2 linked regions of the Ovis aries genome follow. The protein of the gene in region 1 binds, or shares a complex with, the protein of each later gene. Links are inferred from orthologs where the notes say so. Each region holds a gene or a part of one and is shown on either strand. Other genes may lie near its edges.

Region 1 (9,960 bases):
TGTGGCTTCCTTTTCAGAAAAAAAAATCCACCAGCACATCCACATCTGTCTGCGCATACGTTTCAATCTCCTATCCCTTTCCTGAAAACTGCCCCCAGGGTAAATGGAAGCTAAGGGCCTCACAAATGGATGGGAGACCCGGCGCTCCTTAAGGTCTCTCTAAAAGCAGAAGCCCTCCCCCGACCCCCGCAAGGCAACAGATCTGGAAACCACAATCCTACCACATTAGCAAAGTCTGAGCACCGGCACTGGAAACAAGGGGGCGGTGTCCTCAATCCATTTACCTGGTCCTGGCACAAAAGCTCAATTTTCTCCTCTGCCAATACAGCAATATCCTCCTCTTTCTCCTGTTCTCCTGGTTTTTCATTATTAGAAGAGCTAGTGGTTTGAGACTCATTATCCAAGTTGATGATTTTCTCATAGACGTGTTCCATTACTTTCCGGACTTGAAGCATGTCACTAGCAGAAAGTCGGTCCCTGAAAAAGGCAAGGGCAGATGGTGACATCAGGAAATCACTGGCTATTCGCTCTCCCATTTTCTTTGGTGATAACATCTGATAAGGCTATATCATACCACAGAAACATAAACCAATACATGTTCTCAGGCATTGCTTTAATCCATTTTCAGAATTCCCAACAGATTTCTTATAGTGTCCTCTCCTAAAACAGATTATGTGCAAATAAGTGAGATTATATACATAAAAAGTAGCCTTCTAGGTTCTATTCCCTTAAAGACTTTCCCAGAGCATGGGCAAACTGAATGCTCCTGAAAGGGAAGGCAGCCCCTGTTGCTTATTAGGCTCCGATGATGGATGTACCCATTTCTCCCAGGGCTTCCTCCTATAGTCAAGACTTTGAGTTTCAACTGCTTGTCTGATCTCCAAACCCACCAACCCAATAGCTCCCGCCAATGTCCCAAAGGCATCACAAACTCTACATGTCCAAAACTAGATTCAGCAACTTCCTTATCCCCAAACCTACTTCTGTATCTCTGACATCAGTTAATAATGGTCAAATCAAGTAGCTCAGGCTCATACTTTAAAAGCAAGTTAAACTATATATACTTTCAATATTATGAAATTAGCCTAAGATCTAGTGCTTGCCTTCTGTGCTCTAAATGTAATCCTAACAAATAATTAAACTAATTAAATCCAACCCAGGGATCAAACCCAGCTTTCACGGATTGCAGGTGGAGTCTTTACCAGCTGAGCCACCTGGGAAGCTCAAGAATACTAGAGTGGGTAGCCTATCCCTTCTCCAGTGGATCTTCCCGACTCAGGAATCAAACCAGGCTCTCCTGCATCACAAGTGGATTCTTTAATCAGCTGAGCTGCCAGGGAAGCCCATGCTTGGTGAATGGTTAAATTGTATGACTTCAGTTTTATGGAATAGCCTAAGATCTAGTACTTGCCTCCTGTGCTATGAACGTAATCATAAGGAATAAAAAAGTCTCTGGCAATTAATCAGATCAAAGTATTGCACGACACTCCATTTACTTACTTTTTTAAGGTTTTTGCTCCTGAAGAAGCATGAGGTTGGAGGTAGAAAGGAATTTTGTTGAATTTGGGCATATTTTTCTGAAATATTAAAAGTGAAAAAAAGTAAAATAGTGTCTATTAATTGATAAACTAAAATGATGTCAATACTTGTGAAAACATGATTCATAAGTTAATTGCTATTGTACATTTAAAAGTGACTTTCTATGAAATTTATAGTAAGCTCTCAAATTATGTCAGCCTTAGAGACAGGGTATCAGAAAAGTATAAAGTTTAATTTTGTAATAAAACATATATAAAGACAAATCATATGCAGTGTCAGTAGCAGTATAAAATGGCAGCATGGCTCTTCTCAAGTAACAATTCAAGGTATTAAAGGGAAACAAACTTTATTTTAATCCTTTAAGCCATACAAACCAAAATCTCAAGTCTACATTCAAATGCCAGAACAAAAATTTAAGTATCTTGAGAGAAACCCACAACATTCACTTTTGAGCAAAACCATACACTCTATGCTGGTAAGGTCCATTATCCACCTCTAAAGGTCAATCAAGTCCTCCTAACTTGCTTTACCTCTGACATCAGAGTGAGGTCTGTCTGAGGTTTCAAATAAGAGTGGAAAGTTCAGCCAACCACCTAGATGTCCATATGATGTAAACCATACACTTAGATAAAGGATAAAATTAATTGGTCATCTTTGCTATGGGGATTAATCCCCTTTGAGCCTCCATGTCATATCCTCTTCGGATGTTTCCTCCAGGGAATAAGCCACAGGCCTAAAGTCAGCAATGCATCCGAGTGAGTTTCACACTCAAAGGAAGTAGTGGTTTATGGGGAGCTCAAATTTAGAGAAGACTAGAATATCCATCAGGTGTCAGACTGGCTTTAAGTTCTTGGAAGTTTATCTGGGACAGAAAACAAATTTTCTAGAAGGTTCTAGAGATTAAATCTCTTTTCATGAGGCTTTAAATAGACATAAAATTGGTCAATAGCACATAACTAGAAACAGACCTATGTGTGTATAGAAATTTAGTATATGATAAAACAGCATTTCAAATTAGTAGGAAAAGTTTAGATGATTCAATAAATTGTGTTGACACACTGGCTACCCATTTGGAGAAAGTTAGCATCTTACTTCACTTCACACCAAACAGAATAAATTCACCAAATAGAATAAATTCTAATACTTTAATGATCTAGATACAAACTATTATCATAAACATACTAGAAGAGAACACAAGAAAATATTTTTGCTACTCTGGAGTGCGAAATACCTAAGCAAGACATGAAACTCACAGCCATAAAGGATTAATCTGGTCATATAAAAATTAAAACTTTTTGCCTGCCAAAGGACATCATGAGCAAAGTAAAAATTCAATCAAGAGGCAAGAGAATGGTCAAAGGGTTAATATTCAGTATGAAGAACTATTACAAGTCAATAAGAAAGACAAATAACCCAATAGAAAGTCGAGTAAAGAATACAAACAGGCAACTTACAAAAGAAATAAAAATGGCCACTATGAAAAGATGCTTAACCTCACTGTAAGTTAAAAAAATTTAGAACAATGAGACAATATGTCTATCTTTCAGCAAAGATTCTAAGTATCCAGCATTGGTGAGGGTGTGGGGTTCTGGGCACTCACACACTGTTGGTGAGAGTGTAAACTGGTATACCCTTAGTGGAGTGCAATTTGGCAGTATCCATTGAAATTTAAAATGTGCATACCCTTTGATCCAGCAATTCCACTTCTAGGAATTTACCCTAAAAAGTACACAAAGATATATATACAAGGATGTTCACTGAAGCATTGTTTTTAACAGAAAACATTGGGTACAACCTAAATGTCCATTAATAGGGACTGGCTAAATAAACCATGGTACATTTATACAACAAAATATGCAGTCATTAAGAAGAAGTGATCCATACACTAATATGAAAAAATGTCCAAAATATATTTTTAAGTGAAAAACAAAACAAAAAAACACATCCAAGTTGTAGAACAGTACAGAACAGCAAATTCTGTGCAAAATAAAATGACCTACATATGGATCACATATATCTAGACACACATATACAGACACAAACACATACTTGTGTATGCACAGAAGAAGGTCCTGAAGGCATTAAGCTATTAATATTTACTACCTCTGGGAAGAAGAAGAGGAAGTGAATGGAAGACAGTGTTTGGAAAAGGATGGGAATTTCACCTTATTCATTTATTATTTTCTTTGATAAACACATTTTATATATTAAAAATAAAGATAGAAAGAGACATAATTATAATATTTCTCTGCAGCTTTGGAACTGCACAGAAGCAGAAGAGGATTCCACTTGGCAGTCTAGTTTCAATCAAAGATTATACAATTTAATACAGTAAATTTTCTTCATGATTTGGAAAAAAATAAGAGGACAAAGTGGGAGTGGAGGACACTTACATCCACAGTGATGTCAATTACCCATTGTGGCACCGTCTCATTAAGAAGCATGGACTCAGTCTCACCCCCAGAATCTCGGCAGAGCAGCCTAAACATAATCCATCATGTAGTAAGTGACAAAATAAGCACGGATCCCAATATCACTATCATTAAATGTTAGAGGGAGGGAGCTTATAGAGTTCATTCAGGATCACCCCCAACTGACAGCTGAGGAAATAAAGTAGAAGGCAGGCAGAATGACTCACTCTGCTAAGAGTGAAAGCAAGCTGTCAAACTCAGGCTCCCAGATTCGAGGCCAGACGGACACTGTGGCTGCCTGTTGGGGCCCCTGGGTGAGGACAGGAAGCTGGGTGTAGGCAAGGCACTTGAGGTCGCTCAGCAGAGCTACAGTGCACGGTAGTCCATGCACAACATGGGGTCAGGCGGTTTTCAGTGACCACACTCTCAGGAAATCACCATCAAGGAAGAGAATTCTGCTCTCAAGGGCAAGACAAATAGCTTTCTTACTTCTGGCCCATGGCTTTCTCCCATGACATTTCCTGGGCCTTGGCTAGCAACTTGGAGGTGAAGCCAGCCTAGCACTTGCCTGCAGGCCCTCAAGAAGGACTGCCTTGCACCTCAGGTCGAGCCATTGTTGGGCATGACAGTTCCCAGGAGCAGCCCAGTCCATCTCCCCTGGCCTGGTCTGAGGGAAGTTATCTACTCAGATGTTGTCCTGTGGGTGGGGACTTCTGGTGAAGTCATCTGTCCCTGGCAGTCTGGCTGGTTAAGTGAGAAAAAGCACTTCCTGCAGAAACTGCTAAGAAGCTGCCTTGAGGCAAGGTTATCAACCTCCACAAGGTATCAACCTCATTTTACCACTAGAGGCTCAGCTCTGAATTAAGATGGGGTCTAACAGCATCAGACACTTAACTATTTCAGGGAGGTGAAAAACCAAAACCCAGACACCCCTAGAAATTAATAGACATTTGCTTGAATCAAAACTTCAGGGCAAACAGGGTGCACTCTTAGCCCTTCCTACCCATACCTGAAGAGGGTGCGGCCTCCAGCTTCACCGAAGATCACAGGGGTGTGTGGCGGCACTTGAAAGTAGCCATTTCCTTTCTGTACTCGGTTCTCCTGCTCCCCGTTTACTAGGAAAAGACACAGATGGCGTCAGGATCCAGTCAGCGCTAACAACATGGACTCTAAACATTTTGTTTCCACAGGACCCAACCATTGCAAGACTTAAGTCAAGAAGTCCTGTAAGTCAGCTAGAGATGGAAATAAAGGTAAAAAACAAAGTGAAGTTCCTGAAAATAAGAAATACGGCAATGTGCGATATACCTCACGAGAAATGATTACATTTTAGAGGAGATTAATGTTTGAGATTTAAAACAAAAACATAACCATCTACTTCAGCCACAGGGCAGTCTAGAACAGTCTATAAACAATGATCTGCTCTTTCCTTTGGCGCTGGTGGGGTGGGGATTGGTAAAACACCAAGCACAGAGAAATTTGTGTCAGAAACAAAGTTTATATTTAATGGCAGCCACAACTAACGGTATTAGTGAAAAACAAAATCTCAAAGAGGTCATAAACTCATTTTTATTGCTCTCTGCAGATTTCATTTTAGTCAGATTTCATTTCAGTCAGCTCTCTGCAGCTGACTCCCCCTTGTTCATAACTACTTTCTGAAGGAATCTGGAAGCAATCTCACCCTCTGCAACCCAACAACACTCTCTCACAGCACCAACTCTGATCACACAATGCAGATGTAAGCGGTGCTTTGTCCAACCAGAATGCTAGTCCCTGAATGGAGGGATCCATGTCCATCTATCCCTATTATCCTCACAACTCACTTCAGGCCTCCGAATACTCGAGCTGCCCACCTCGTATAACCCAAGCAGCTTGAGGGTCCGCTGTGTGTCGTGCAGGTCCAGCAGGATTACCAGCCAGGTAGTGCGAGCCGTGTCCTGAGCTTGGCTCAGTCCTGCCCTGCCTTCACTAGGCCAATTTGATTCTAAGGATGATTTAACGTTTCCTGTGACTTATTCTTTACTCCCCCAACCGAAGTCTGCCTTCAAGAGATGCTGCCTGGGGCCCTTTGTTTCGATTACGTGGTCTTTATTGGCTCCTTGGGCCTCCGAGGGCACCGTCAGGTTATAGATGGAGAAAGACAAGTCAAGAACAGGAAATGGCATGCCCGCAGCTGCACAGCTGATAAAACGGCAGAGCCCACAGCAGAACCTAGCTTTCTCGACCCTGTGAGCAGATCTTTCCACTGACTCTGGCTCACAGTTCACTGTACAATTCAGAAGGGGAATGAAGCGAGCCAGGTGACAGAAGAAAGGCCATCATGTGTGGGGTCAGTGCTCTCTCTCAGACAGGGACATCAGGACACTGGCTTACAGAGAGGCATGCCATCCTTGCAAAACAGATTTAAACTCCAAAATTTATTCTGGATGAATCAGTCAGCCACAACAAACTCTCTGGCAGGAGGGCTTCATCACTGCTGACCACCACAAATAGGCAATCTTCAGAGAATCTTTAGCAGAGCAAGTCCTCAGTGGGGGGACTCAAGGTTATGTATCAGCTGTGATATTTTAAGTTTTTCCCCTCCTTTCTTGAATCAGACTGAGCCAAACTCATATGTTCCAAATTCTCCCGGGCTGCCCAGTGAGTTACTGCTGCTGCCTGTGGCACACACAGCTTTGGAATGTCCTCAATGACATTAATTCTTTACACATACTCAGTCACTTACCCTGGCACTTCTGAATTGGGAGCTGCTTTTTTGAGCCAATATCAGGTAGATCATCAGACTAGGGAATATCTACCTTTCAGGCCAATGTGAGGCATGCCTCACAACAACAAACCTGGCTTTCCAATGCAGCTAAATAGCTAGCTTTGGAGGTAAATCCAGCAGGTCCATGGATACCTTGAGAAATACTGTTAGAATGAACCTGCTAAGCTGCCTACTTTCAAGGACAAAGGTCACCTGAATACACAGGATTGATTCCATATACCTTGTGTAGTAATTAAAAGTTCTTCGATATCTCAGTTAAGACTGGATGGACGTTCTTTAGCATGTAGAAGGGAGGGCAATAAATTGAGCATACCCCAACTATTATGTCATACTTTAGCAAATGCTTAAAAAAATTTTTTAAAAAAATTCTCAGGATAACAATCTAAATATCCTTAACTTCAGAGTAATTTTAAAACCAATTATCCTAATATAAAAATACGAACCATGATTTACTTCATTTTCTTCTTCATCTATTGGATTCACATGTGTCCTAGGCCAATATTCTAGGAGTGCCTGGAGTAAAAGTCCTCCTAAGTTCACTGCAAGAGAGTCAATTAAAATAGAAACAAAAAAAACAGAAAAGAGAAACATTAGTTTTAACTTAAAAATAGAGGGAAAGCAATAAAAATGAAAAGCTTCCACATATTCTGATGTTACATTCTTAACCCAATGCCAAGGATGTCTAAAAGCAAGACTTTACGTATTTCACAAAGTCTATTAAAATTTCATCTTACAATGTTTAAAGCAGTGATAATATCAAGCAAACAGATATTCTATTTGGTTATTCAGATATAGCTGTTCTTTGAAAATGAATAAACAACAACTGAAATTGTATTCTTTAAAGGGCTATTTCCATATAAAGCCACTATATTTTGTATATATATCAGTTATTTCTACAGGCTACAATCTTAGAAGAATACTGATCAAAGATATAATTAATAAAATATAATAGACTCTTATGAAGATAAGTCTCTTCTCAACATACACAAAAATTAACTCAACAGGGACTAAAGAGATGAATGTAAGACTTGAAACCACAATACTCCCAGAAGAAAACACAGGCAGTAAGCTTGCTGACAATGATATTGGTGGATGATTTTTTTTGGATCTTACACCAAAAGCAAAGGCAATGAAGGCAAAAGTAAGTAAGTGGAACTATATCAAACTAACAAGCTTTTATAGAGCAAAGGAAATCATCAACAAAATGAAAAGGCAACCTACGGAACAGGAGAAAATATTTGCAAATTATTTATCTGAAATGGGTTAATATCCAAAATATATAAAAAATTCATACAACTCAATAGCAAAAAAATGGAAAAATCTGACTAAAAAATTGGGCAGAAGAGCTGAATAGACATTTTTCCAAAGAAGACATACAGATGGCCAACAGGCACATGAAAACATGCTCAACATCACTAATCACCAGGGAAAGGAAAATCAAAACCACAAGGAGCTATCACCTCACACCTGTGAGGATGGCTGTTAATCAAAAAGATGATAAACAACAAATGTCTGACAGTATGAGGAGAAATAGGAACCCCTGTGCACTACTGACGGGACCTAAGTTGGTGCAGACACCGTGGAAAACAGCATGGCGGTCCCTCAAAAACAAAACTATCGTATCTAGTACGCTACTTCTGAGAATTTATCTGAAGAAAAGGAAAACACTCATTTAAAAAGATATATGCACCCCCATGTTCATTGCAGCGCTATTTACAGAAAACCTCACTGTCCATTGATGGATGAATGGATAAAGAAAATGTGATATACACACAAAGAAATATTATTCAGTCATAAAGAAAATGAAGTCTTGCCATTTGTGACAACAAGGATGAACCCTGAAGGCCATATGGTTAAGCGAAATATGTTAGACACAGACAAAAGCCATATGATCTCACTTACACGTGGAATCTGAAACCAAAAAAGCAAAAAACCCCAGAGCTCACAGAAACAAAGAACAGACTGGTGGTTGCCAGATGTTGAGGGGCAGGCGTAACGGAATGGGCAAAATGGGTGAAGGGAGTCAAAAAGTATGTACTCCCAGTTATAAAATATATTCGTCACGGGGATGTGACCTACGGCATGGCAACTATATTTACTAATACTATATTGCACATTTTAAAGTCGCTAAGAGAGTAGATCTTAAAAAGTCTCAAGAGAAAAAACTTCTATACATGGCGACAGATGTTAACTATTAACTAGATTTACTGTTGTGATTATTTTGCAATATATACAAATACTGAATCATTATCCTGTACATCTGAAACCAACATATGATATGTCAGTTATACTTCAGTAATTCTTTAACTGGAGGGGGAAAAACTGTTTCCTAGCTTCAGTTATCCTTACCTAACAGATTTCCAGAATGCTTTAAGGGTAGAGAGTATGCTGCGTGTTTAATTGTTAAAGCTAAGTCATACATTGTGAGAAAACTCAAGATCCCAAAACACTTAAAATGGAATGTTTTCCATTTCCATATGAGAGAATAATATAGATTTCTTGAAAAATAATTTTTTAAAAACCCAAATATTGTTTATAAACAAAAAAGATGAGCATAAAGCAAAAAACCAGCACAGATCTACCTACTCTTTTGGAAGGAGGCGGGGAAGGAAGGACACAAACTCACGTTTTGGATCCGACCCATCAGGGCTGCTGAAGCCAGCATCTTTTGCAGAAACCCAAGCAGCAAAGCAGTCACTCTCATCCAAAGTAATTGTCAACATCTGTCAAAAGAGAAAAATTGCTTAGTGGCATTCTATTTGAATACACTCTTCAAGTAAGTCTCTAAATCCTTATTTATTTGCACTATTTGACTACAGTGCTAAGCCACAGATTCAGAATCAAAATGTGTTTCGTGTAATTCAATGCAACTACGATTTAATATACTGGGATATGAAAAGGCATTTAAACTGCATAAAACCTTCTCCTTTCAAACTTAAACACACAGGACTCCAAAACTAATAATACTTAATTCTCAGCTATATGGGAAATTTTCAACTATCCCAAATTGCACAAATATCAACTGCTAACTTACCCCTGTTTTTAAGTCTACTGAGAACCAATTTGGTACATATACCATCTTAAATCTTTTCTTAATTTCATCTTCAAAATCCACTTTGCCCAAATCTTCAACTTTACATGCCTATACATCAAAAAGAAAGTATGATAATTATTACTATTAAGCGGTCAATTTATTTGACTCTGACTTAGTTACTCAAATTTTACACATTTGCCTAAATAAAA
Region 2 (9,960 bases), on another chromosome or scaffold:
CGCATCATCTTTCAGGATTTGAAATAGCTCAACTGGAATTCCGTCACGTCCACTAGCTTTGTTCATAGTGATGCTTCCTAAGACCCACTTGACTTCACACTCCAGGATGTCTGGCTGTAGGTCAGTGATCATACCATTGTGATTATCTGGGTCGTGAAGATCTTTTTGTATAGTTCTTCTATGTATTCTTGCCAGCTCTTCTTAATGTCTTCTGCTTCTGTTAGGCCCCTACCATTTCTGTCCTTTATTGAGCCCATCTTTGCATAAAATGTTCCCTTGGTATCTCTTAATTTTCTTGAAGAGGTCTCTAGTCTTTCCCATTCTGGTGTTTTCCTCTGTTTCTTTGCATTGATCACTGAGGAAGTGTTTCTTATCTCTCCTTGCTATTCTTTGGAACTCTGCATTCAAATGGGTACATCTTTCCTTTTTTCCTTTGCCTTTCACTTCTCTTCTTTTCACAGCTATTTGTAAGACCTCCTCAGACAACCATTTTGCCTTTTTGTTTTATTTATGGGACAATAGATTAAGTGAACTGATAAAAAGCAGTTGTTTCTTACTACCTCAATACATTATGTATGAGGATAGGTTTTCTCTTTTTTTGATCAATTAGTATTTTTTAGAAGATTTTTCTTCATAACTGTATTTTCCTCAAATTTGAGTCATAATTTGTATATGTGAAAGATACATGTTTCTTGTTCATTACTAACAGTCACAAACATTTTATGTAATTCTGATAGAATACTAGATATTCTTTTTTTAATTTAGTTTTTTTAATGAAGTAACTCATTCTGAAATAATTCTCTGTGCATTCTTATTTTTAGAGCTCTTTGACAACTACATGCAGCAAGATGCCCACGAATTCCTAAATTACCTACTAAATACCATTGCTGATATTTTACAAGAAGAGAGAAAGCAGGAGAAACAAAATGGTCGTCTGCCTAATGGTAACATTGACAGTGAAAATAACAGCACACCAGACCCGACATGGGTTCATGAGATCTTCCAGGGAACACTGACTAATGAAACCAGGTGTCTTACGTGTGAAACCGTAAGTGTCTCATAAAATGTCATATAGAACGCATCTAACCCGTTGTGTTAAAAGCTCTTTGAGGATGAGTATGAGAGTGAGCTTGAGAGTTGTGGTGCCTGTGACTGACGAGCCTCTCGGCTGTCTGCTTGTTGACCGAACCCTGAGCTGGCAGAGAAACACTCGCTGCGGCGTGAACTGTTTCGAGACTTCATGTTGAACAGTTGGGCTGTGTTGTGACTGCAGTGTCCTACAGAGTAGTCTCGCTGCTCTGGCGACCCTCTGTGGCCTGTGTATTTGTGCCTCCCCTCCCCTGACCCCTAGCGGCCACTGGTCATTTTACTGCCTCCAGAGCTTGCCCTCTCCGGATGCCACATGGCTGGAGTCGTAGAGCATGGGGCCCTTTCAGATTGACTTCTTTCACTCGGCAGTGGGTATTTAAGGTTCCCACCTGCCTTGTCACAGCTTGATAGCTCATTTCTTTTTATTGCTGAATTACATTTTATTGTCTGGATGTACCAGAGTTTATCCATTTACCTACTGAAGGACACCTCAGTTGCTTGTTTTGGTAATTATGAATAAACTTGCTCTGAACACACATGTGCAGGATTTTGTGTGGATATAAGTTTTCAGTGCCTCAGTTAGTGGCCAGGGGCGCAGTTGCTAGATCGTGTGGTAGGAAGAGTACATTTAGTTTTGGAAGGAACTACATTCACATTCCCACCAGGAATGAGGGAGAGTTCCTGCTGCTCCACGTCCTGGTCAGCACTTGCTGATGTTGGTGTTTTGGATTTTGGCTGTTTTAATAGGTGTGTAGTATTATATTTAAATCAAATGCATTTAATTTGCATTTCTCTGATGGCATATAACGTGGAATATCTTTTCATGCACCCGTTTGCCGTCTTTATATATCTTCCTTGGTGAGGTATCAGTACTAGTCTTTGGGCCATTTTTCACATGAGGTTGTTTGTTTTCTAGCTGTTGAGTTTCAGGAGTACTCTGTACATTTTAGACACCAGGCCTTTGTCAGAGGTGTCATTTGCAAGGTTTTCTCCCAGCCTGTGGCTCATCTTCACATGCTGTCAACCATACCTTTGGCAGATCAGAAGTTTTTAATGTTTTAATTTTAAATTTTAATAAAGTCCAGTTTAAAGGACAGAAATGGTATAGACCTAACAGAAGCAGAAGATACTAAGAAGAGGTGGCAAGAATACACGGAAAAACTGTACAAAAAAGATCTTCACGACCCAGATAATCATGATGATGTGATCACTCGTCTAGAGCCAGACATCTTGGAATGTGAAGTCAGGTGGGCCTTAGAAAGCATCACTACGAACAAAGCTAGTAGAGGTGATGGAATTCCAGTGGAGCTATTTCAAATCCTGAAAGATGATGCTGTGAAAGTGCTGCACTCAATATGCCAGCAGATTTGGAAGACTCAGCAGTGGCCACAGGACTGGAAAAGGGCAGTTTTCATTCCAATCCCAAAGAAAGGCAGTGCCAAGGAATGCTCAAACTACCGCACAATTGCACTCATCTCACATGCTAGTAAAGTAATGCTCAAAATTCTCTAAGCCAGACTTCAGCAATACGTGAACCGTGAACTCCCTAATGTTCAAGCTGGTTTTAGAAAAGGCAGAGGAACCAGAGGTCAAATTGCCAATATCCACTGGATCATGGAAAAAGCAAGAGAGTTCCAGAAAAACATGTATTTCTGCTTTATTGACTATGCCAAAGCCTTTGACTGTGTGGATCACAAGAAACTGTGGAAAATTCTGAAAGAGATGGGAATACCAGACCACCTGACCTGCCTCCTAAAGAATCTATATGCAGGTGAGGAAGCAACAGTTAGACCTGGACATGGAACAACAGACTGGTTCCAAATAGGAAAAGGAATATGTCAAGGCTGTATACTGTCACCCTGCTTATTTAACTTATATGCAGAGTACATCATGAGAAATGCTGGGCTGGAAGAAACACGAGCTGGAATCAAGATTGCCAGGAGAAATATCAATAACCTCAGATATGCAGATGACACCACCCTTATGGCAGAAAGTGAAGAGGAACTAAAAAGCCTCTTGATGAAAGTGAAAGAGGAGAGTGAAAAAGATGGCTTAAAGCTCAACATTCAGAAAACAAAGATCATGGCATCTGATCCCATCACTTCATGGGAAATAGATGGGGAAACAGTGGAAACAGTGTCAGACTTTATTTTTGGGGGCTCCAAAATCACTGCAGATGGTGATTGCAGCCATGAAATTAAAAGATGCTTACTCCTTGGAAGGAAAGTTATGACCAACCTAGACAGCATATTCAAAAAGCAGAGACATTACTTTGCCGACTAAGGTCCATCTGGTCAGGGCTATGGTTTTTCCAGTAGTCATGTATGGATGTGAGAGTTGGACTGTGAAGAAGGCTGAGCGCCGAAGAATTGATGCATTTGAACTGTGGTGTTGGAGAAGACTCTTGAGAGTCCCTTGGACTGCAAGGAGATCCAACCAGTCCATTCTGAAGGAGATCAACCCTGGGATTTCTTTGGAAGGAGTGATGCTAAAGCTAAAGCTCCAGTACTTTGGCCACCTCATGCGAAGAGTTGACTCATTGGAAAAGACTCTGATGCTGGGAGGGATTGGGGATTAGAAGCGGAAGGGGACAACCATGGATGAGATGGCTGGATGGCATCACGGACTCGATGGACGTGAGTCTGAGTGAACTTCGGGAGATGGTGATGGACAGGGAGGCCTGGCATGCTGTGATTCATGGAGTCGCAAAGAGTTGGACACGGCTGAGCGACTGAACTGAACTTTTTGTTTTTTTTTCCTTCATGGAAATGCTTTTGATATTCTTTAAATGCTTTTCGTGTTGTATCGAAAAAGTCATCACAGACCATCTGTGCATGTGGAGTCACTTGGTGGTGGAGGGGTCCCAGGGACCAAGTCTGACGTCCCTCCTGTTGCATCCCGTCAAGGGAGGCAGCCAGCATGAGTGATGTGTCTTACTCTAGCTCACTGATTAAGTAGTAACTTAGATCATTATAGATGATTCATTCATAAATCAGAACATGGTTAAATTTGGAGGATAAATAAAAGAAGGTCATAAGTGAAGGCTCAGTTTGGCATGTTGGACTAATATTTTTTCTTAAATGGTAGTTTTTTTCTTAAATAATTAAACAGTATAGAGATCATGTCCTTTACCAGCCATTCTCATTCATCCTTGTCCTGTGTTCTTTTAAGAATTACTGTGTATGGCATAGTTTGTTTTATGCTTTACACCATGGACATGGGAGCCTGGCAGGCTACAGCCCATGGGGTTGAAAGAGTGGGCCACGACTGAGTGACCAAACCACCCCCAATACCAGGATTCGGGGAAGTGATGGGATTTCACATCACACCAGCCTTTGCCAGTAAGGAGAGCAGCTGTAGGTGCACTTTGGTATTTTCTTCTAAATATAATGAAGGGTATTGATTCAGCTTCCTTTTGTAAACTTGTATGACTCAAGTAGTTTCTTTTCAACTTGGGGAAAAAGGTTCTTTATATATTTAATAATACTGATAATAACCCACATTTAATTCTTTCACTTTGGAGCAGTAATTTACTGATACCTAAAGAAATCAAAGGTAATTAATTCTCTTATTTTTACAGATAAGCAGCAAAGATGAAGATTTTTTAGACCTTTCTGTTGACGTGGAACAAAACACATCAATTACTCACTGCTTAAGGTAAGCGTGGAATTATTTATTTTGACAGTTAATGATTATCTTTGGTTTTTAGAATATCTTTAAATGAATGCATCATTTTCTGGTACAGGCAAAACTAATTTATTTTGGATTTTACACAGGGGTTTTAGCAACACAGAAACTCTATGCAGTGAATACAAATACTACTGTGAAGAATGTCGCAGCAAACAGGAAGCACACAAACGGTAATTTAGTGTTTTCTGTAATTCATAGTGATTCTTTGGCCATGGATGTTCTAACCAAAAGTGATCTCTGGCAGTTTGCATTGAGTAATCATCCTTTATTTTATCACCAACTGTTAAGACTCATTAGGTAATTACTAGACAAACACATGAGGTAGTTACCAGGCAAACAGTGCTCAACTCCGGGCTGCCTTGACTATCCACACTTGGTGAGTGTTTAATCGCCATAAACCAATACAGTGAGAGGATTCTGCTTTGAAGCTTTCCTCGTTGTGTAAGCTTTCTCGTGGTGAGGAAAGAAGAGGGGAAAAGTGCTTTCCTCACGCCCACTCCAGTCTCCACTGTTCCTCCATAGGATTCACGCCTTCTCTCAGTGTGTCACCATGAGGACAGTACTCTGGTATCAGAAAATGGACTTATCATCACCCTGATTATTTTACTTTTTGTTTTGAGGCAGCCTCAAAGTCTTGTGAACAGTATACCAAGAATGCTTTTCACCCTTAACCATTTGAGAGTGGGTCCCTGCTGTGATGTCCCACAGTTCTGAGGCTTCGGTAGTGGTATCCTGCCAGCAAGGACGTTTCCCCTGTACCATGTCCGGCCACGTCAGGAGAGCAGCGCTGAGATGTTACTGTTGTTGTAGACCTTACTTTAGCATCACCAGATGTCCCAGTAATGTCCTTTATAGGAAAAAAGGGTCTAGTCCAGAGGCACACGTTGCATTTACCATTTGTGTCTCTGTCATCTTTTTATACTGGGAGCAGTTCCTTATCAGTCTTTGCTTGACTTTCACTCTCTTGACACTTAAAAATTACAGGTTAGGTATTTTACAGAATGTCCTCCTTTGAGTCCATCTCATGTTTTAATGTAATGAGGTTTAGATTTTGTATTCTGGGCAGGAATCACACAGAGGTGAGGCTGTGTTCTTTTTAAATGGTACACGATTTTGATACGTGTCATGTGTCGGGGCCCCCACGACCGCTCCTGGATTTGATGGTTCCCTAGAAGGACTCATAGGATTCAGCGTCTGTAGTCCTGCTCACAGCTAAGGTTTGTCACAGGGAACAGTGACAGGTCCGATCAGCAAAGGGGAAGCCAAGCCAGCTTCCAAGTGTCCTGTCCCCGTGGAGTCACATGGACACACTTGTTTCTCCAGCATCGAATGTGACAGCATTGTCTCCCAGAGAAGCTCATCACAGACTCGGTGTGGTGCCCGAGATTTACTGGGGGCAGGCCACCTAGGCACTCCCTGCTTGCGTGTGCGTACACGCTCAGTCACGCAGTGTCCGACTCTTTACAGTCCCGTGGACCACAGTCCTCCACACTCCTCTGTCCATGGGGATTCTCCAGGCAAGAATATTGGAGTGGGTTGCTATTCCTCCTCCAGGGGATCTTCCTGACCCAGGGGTCAAACCTGAGTCTCTACGTCTAATGCATCGCAGGGGGATTCTTCACCCGCCAAGCCATCAGGCGTGTACCAAAACTCCAGGCTCCTGCAAGGGAAGCAGGTGTTCAGCATAAACCATATGATCTGCGCAACAAGTTCAGGCACATCAAGACCCTCTTACCAGCTAGGGAACAGCAGGAGTCCCCCCAGATCAAGTTCCCAGATGCCAGCTGAGGGTCAGCCCCACAGCCAGCCTTTCCCAGGATGTCCTGTGACTGCTACCGTTCTCTCTGGTCACTTGACTGAGGTGCTGTCTCCCAGCGTTAAGCTGTGCTTTCTCCCTAGTTGTAACTGATATGCATTTTGTGTGGAGGTATTTTGAGATTATAAATATCCCTGTTTCTCAGTCTCAGTGAGGGCTCAGGGATATTGTATTTGAGGTTATATATTTAATTTCTAGAAATGGAATTATTGAGGAAAAGGACATAAAGACTGTTGGTTCCTGTGGCTGGCTGGTTTTCCAGCAAAGATTGGGTTTTTACATTTCTTTTCATTAGTGTTTTGCACTGGCCAGGTTAGTAAATATTTCTGGGATAATCTGCTGCTCCTCCACATTTAAGATCTGTAGAATGCAGGTTTCGAATAAGGCTATAAAAAAATTTTTTTTCACTTTATTAGAGGCAGTGGCTTAGTAAATTTTTTTTTTAGCATGAGAAGTGTTTTGCTTCACTGAACACATACAGAATTCAGTCCTGCACTGTTTGTCAAGTACCTGCTGTGTGCCAGGCATATTACTGGGTGGTGAAGAAATACAATGAAAGAGATGGTTTCTGTCTGCCCAGAGTCCAGACCCTAGACAGAGAGAGAGACCACAGCCATCTCTGTATTTTGTAGTGTAGCAGACTGTTCCGAGACAGGGTGAGTCTGTAAAGTGCTGGTGGAGGACCGAGGAGAACAGCTGTTTCTGTCGGAAGGGAAAGCGTTGGCGGTGAATTTTGTTAGGAAGAGGCTGCCGTGCGGTGACATCGGGGAGCAGAGATGGCGTGGAGGGGGTCGTCAGGATTGTTGAGGATGAGGCGGCCTGGACTTGACAGGTAGAAACCTCATTCCTGTGTTTCCAGGTTATTGTATTGCCTTTGTGGGATCCGCACAGTCAGAGCTGTTAGTAAGAAGCTGTATCCTGTCTGTGAAACGCCCTGAGTGGCTGGTCTCCATTGCTCTTCTCTCTCTCCTGTTCCCAGTCTGTTCCTGACTTACAGATGAGCAGAACGAATGGATTTCAGTCTCTGCGCACAGCAGCTCTTAGGAACCGGTTTTTCCTCTACCAGACACAGGCGTCGCCTGCAGTCTGCCTGGTCATGAGGGACCTCTGTTTCAGGAGTACAGAGTTCTTAAAGGGCTACACCTCTGTCTGGGAGCCACACGGAGTTCCACGTCATATTATGTGGTTTGGAGATGATGAGGGACAGGGGGCCGTCTTAAGACCATCAGAATGTTGCCCTGCTGATGGTGGAGTGACAGGAGATCGCTGTTCACCCCAGACCATCACAGCATTATGAGTCAGTTCTACCCCAGCACACAAGAAAAGCTTAGAAGAGGCACAGGTAGAGAGAATGCGGAAGTGGGCGGTGCTGGGCTGATAAAACTGACTGTCAGCGGTTATTGAGTCCTGCAGTCTGATAGTTCTTTTAAGGACACGGTGAATGTCTGTTACGAGATTCTGTCTTCATGTTTATCCTGACAGGATGAAAGTGAAAAAGCTGCCCATGATTCTAGCTCTGCATCTGAAAAGATTTAAGTATATGGATCAGCTTCATCGATACACAAAACTTTCTTACCGGGTGGTTTTCCCTTTAGAACTTCGTCTGTTTAACACTTCAGGCGACGCGACCAATCCTGACAGAATGTATGACCTCGTGGCCGTCGTGGTGCACTGTGGAAGGTAACGGGCGTGGGCCATGCAGGCGGGAGGCTTGGGGGCGGGCAGTGCACACAGGACACCCCAGGGCCGCTCAGAGGTGGGCCTGCCAGAGATCCCGTACCCCCGGTGCTCTAGGACCGAGATGAGTTTATTTCAGAATGAGTATTTCAGATCCATTTTACCATCTCCCCCTTAAAGCTTTTATCTGTTAAAATAGTGTGTTATTGCTTGGATCTGATATCTGTTCTTATTATCTAAATAGGAGCTTCTCTCGTAGCTCAGTTGGTAAAGAATCTGCCTGCAGTGCAGGAGTCTCAGGTTCAATTCCTGGGTTGGGACGATCCCATGGGGAAGGGGATGGCAACCCACTCCAGTATTCTTGCCTGGAAAATCCCATGGACAGAGGAGCCTGGTAGGCTACAGTCCATGGGGTTGCAAAGAGTCAGACACAACTTAGTGGCTAAACCACCACCACTGCCATCTAAATATTACTCTGAGAAGTTTTAAGTCCTGTTGGTTTTCTTTTTTGTTTTTCTTGGTTGTTGGTTAAAAAAAAGAAAAAAGATGCTGCTTAAAGAGATTTTATAAAGTGAATTCTTTATTTTTACAAAATAAAGCTGAGACTAGTTGGATATGTTCATCACATTAATAATAATGAAAAATACTTTTAGAAGGCTTTGGAGATAACCTTCAAAGATAAGTTTTCTGATTTTACAAGGCTGTGTGTATGTTTCCTATTGCTAATTTAGTATACTATCTCATCTATAGACCTTAATTTATAAAATAGCTCAAAAAGTTTCTCAGACCACAAGAGCATTGCAGAATCAACATTTATGTTTAGAACATACAGTTTTCATTGACTGTTTACAATTTCCTGTATTAATTTTATTATATATATATACACACACACACATACATACTTTGGCTGTACTGTACAGCTTGTGGGATCTTAGTTCCCTTACCAGGGATTGAACCAGGGCCTAGCCAGTAGAAGTGCAAGTCCTAACCACTGGACCACCAAGAAATTCCCTTCTTGTAATAATTTTAAAACAGGACACTCCTCCATTTCCCCTGGTGTTTGGAAACTTGTACCAACAGTGTATTGTATCCCAGAGAACGAGAACGTTAGCTGTCCCTCCCTCCCACCTTCCTGCTCAGAACATGGTCAAGATAGCTGGGAGGGGGGGGGTCCACGTCTGTCACGGTCCTTAACCTCCATGGTCTGCGTCAGCCCATTTCCTGTCATTTATCCTCAGCAGTAATCTCGCTTTTCCATTTTTGGAGCATTCTGTTTCTAAAGTAAGTAAAGACATCTGAACAGAGGAAAACAGTATCAGATAACTTACAGAACCCTACTGTAATGATCAGACTGGAGGTTCATGTTAGCATTAAGGTTTTTTTTTTAAGTTTAAGATGTTTTCTTCTGCAGGGAAAAAGTACTCTCGTCATATCTTTCTGTCAACAAGATACTCATTTTAACTACGGGATCAAAGATCTGAAGAAACTGGGAGGCAGCTTATTCTCACATCTGAGGTTGCTGCTTTTAAAACAGTATTCAGAGCCATAAAGGATAATTTGTGTTGAAAATTTTTTCAAGGCCTATAATATAATAATTGTGGTAGAATTGTAATTTAATTAAAAATGATATAGGCTTTTCTAGTGAGTCATACTTAAGTAACTGGGAGCAGGTAAAAAAAATATTTGAT

What was found.
Region 2: the proteins of WDR48 (region 1) and USP12 are in contact, whole or in part, in a crystal structure (PDB 5K1C), measured with the Homo sapiens proteins. The link is inferred for Ovis aries from reciprocal best matches to the Homo sapiens genes WDR48 and USP12. Residues at the interface, in NP_065890.1 of Homo sapiens: Arg50, Trp77, Asp118, Tyr119, Lys121, Leu137, Ser170, Tyr172, Thr188, Asp211, Asn212, Lys214, Ser230, Gly254, Trp256, Arg272, Ile363, Ile364, Leu424, Lys425; in NP_872294.2 of Homo sapiens: Arg185, Leu187, Thr188, Cys189, Glu190, Thr191, Ser227, Lys230, Cys236, Arg237, Ser238, Lys239, Gln240, Glu241, His243.

What each region holds. Positions count from the first base shown.
Region 1 is NC_056072.1:12,416,146-12,426,105, reverse strand, and holds part of WDR48 (WD repeat-containing protein 48), read right to left. Parts: intron 9,860-9,960; coding exon 9,752-9,859; intron 9,441-9,751; coding exon 9,344-9,440; intron 7,257-9,343; coding exon 7,161-7,256; intron 5,066-7,160; coding exon 4,960-5,065; intron 4,021-4,959; coding exon 3,933-4,020; intron 3,259-3,932; coding exon 3,223-3,258; intron 1,578-3,222; coding exon 1,501-1,577; intron 478-1,500; coding exon 285-477; intron 1-284. UniProt on the Homo sapiens protein: Regulator of deubiquitinating complexes, which acts as a strong activator of USP1, USP12 and USP46. Enhances the USP1-mediated deubiquitination of FANCD2; USP1 being almost inactive by itself.
Region 2 is NC_056063.1:32,981,660-32,991,619, forward strand, and holds part of USP12 (ubiquitin carboxyl-terminal hydrolase 12), read left to right. Parts: intron 1-821; coding exon 822-1,048; intron 1,049-4,669; coding exon 4,670-4,746; intron 4,747-4,865; coding exon 4,866-4,949; intron 4,950-8,077; coding exon 8,078-8,275; intron 8,276-9,960. UniProt on the Homo sapiens protein: Deubiquitinating enzyme that plays various roles in the regulation of the immune response and inflammation.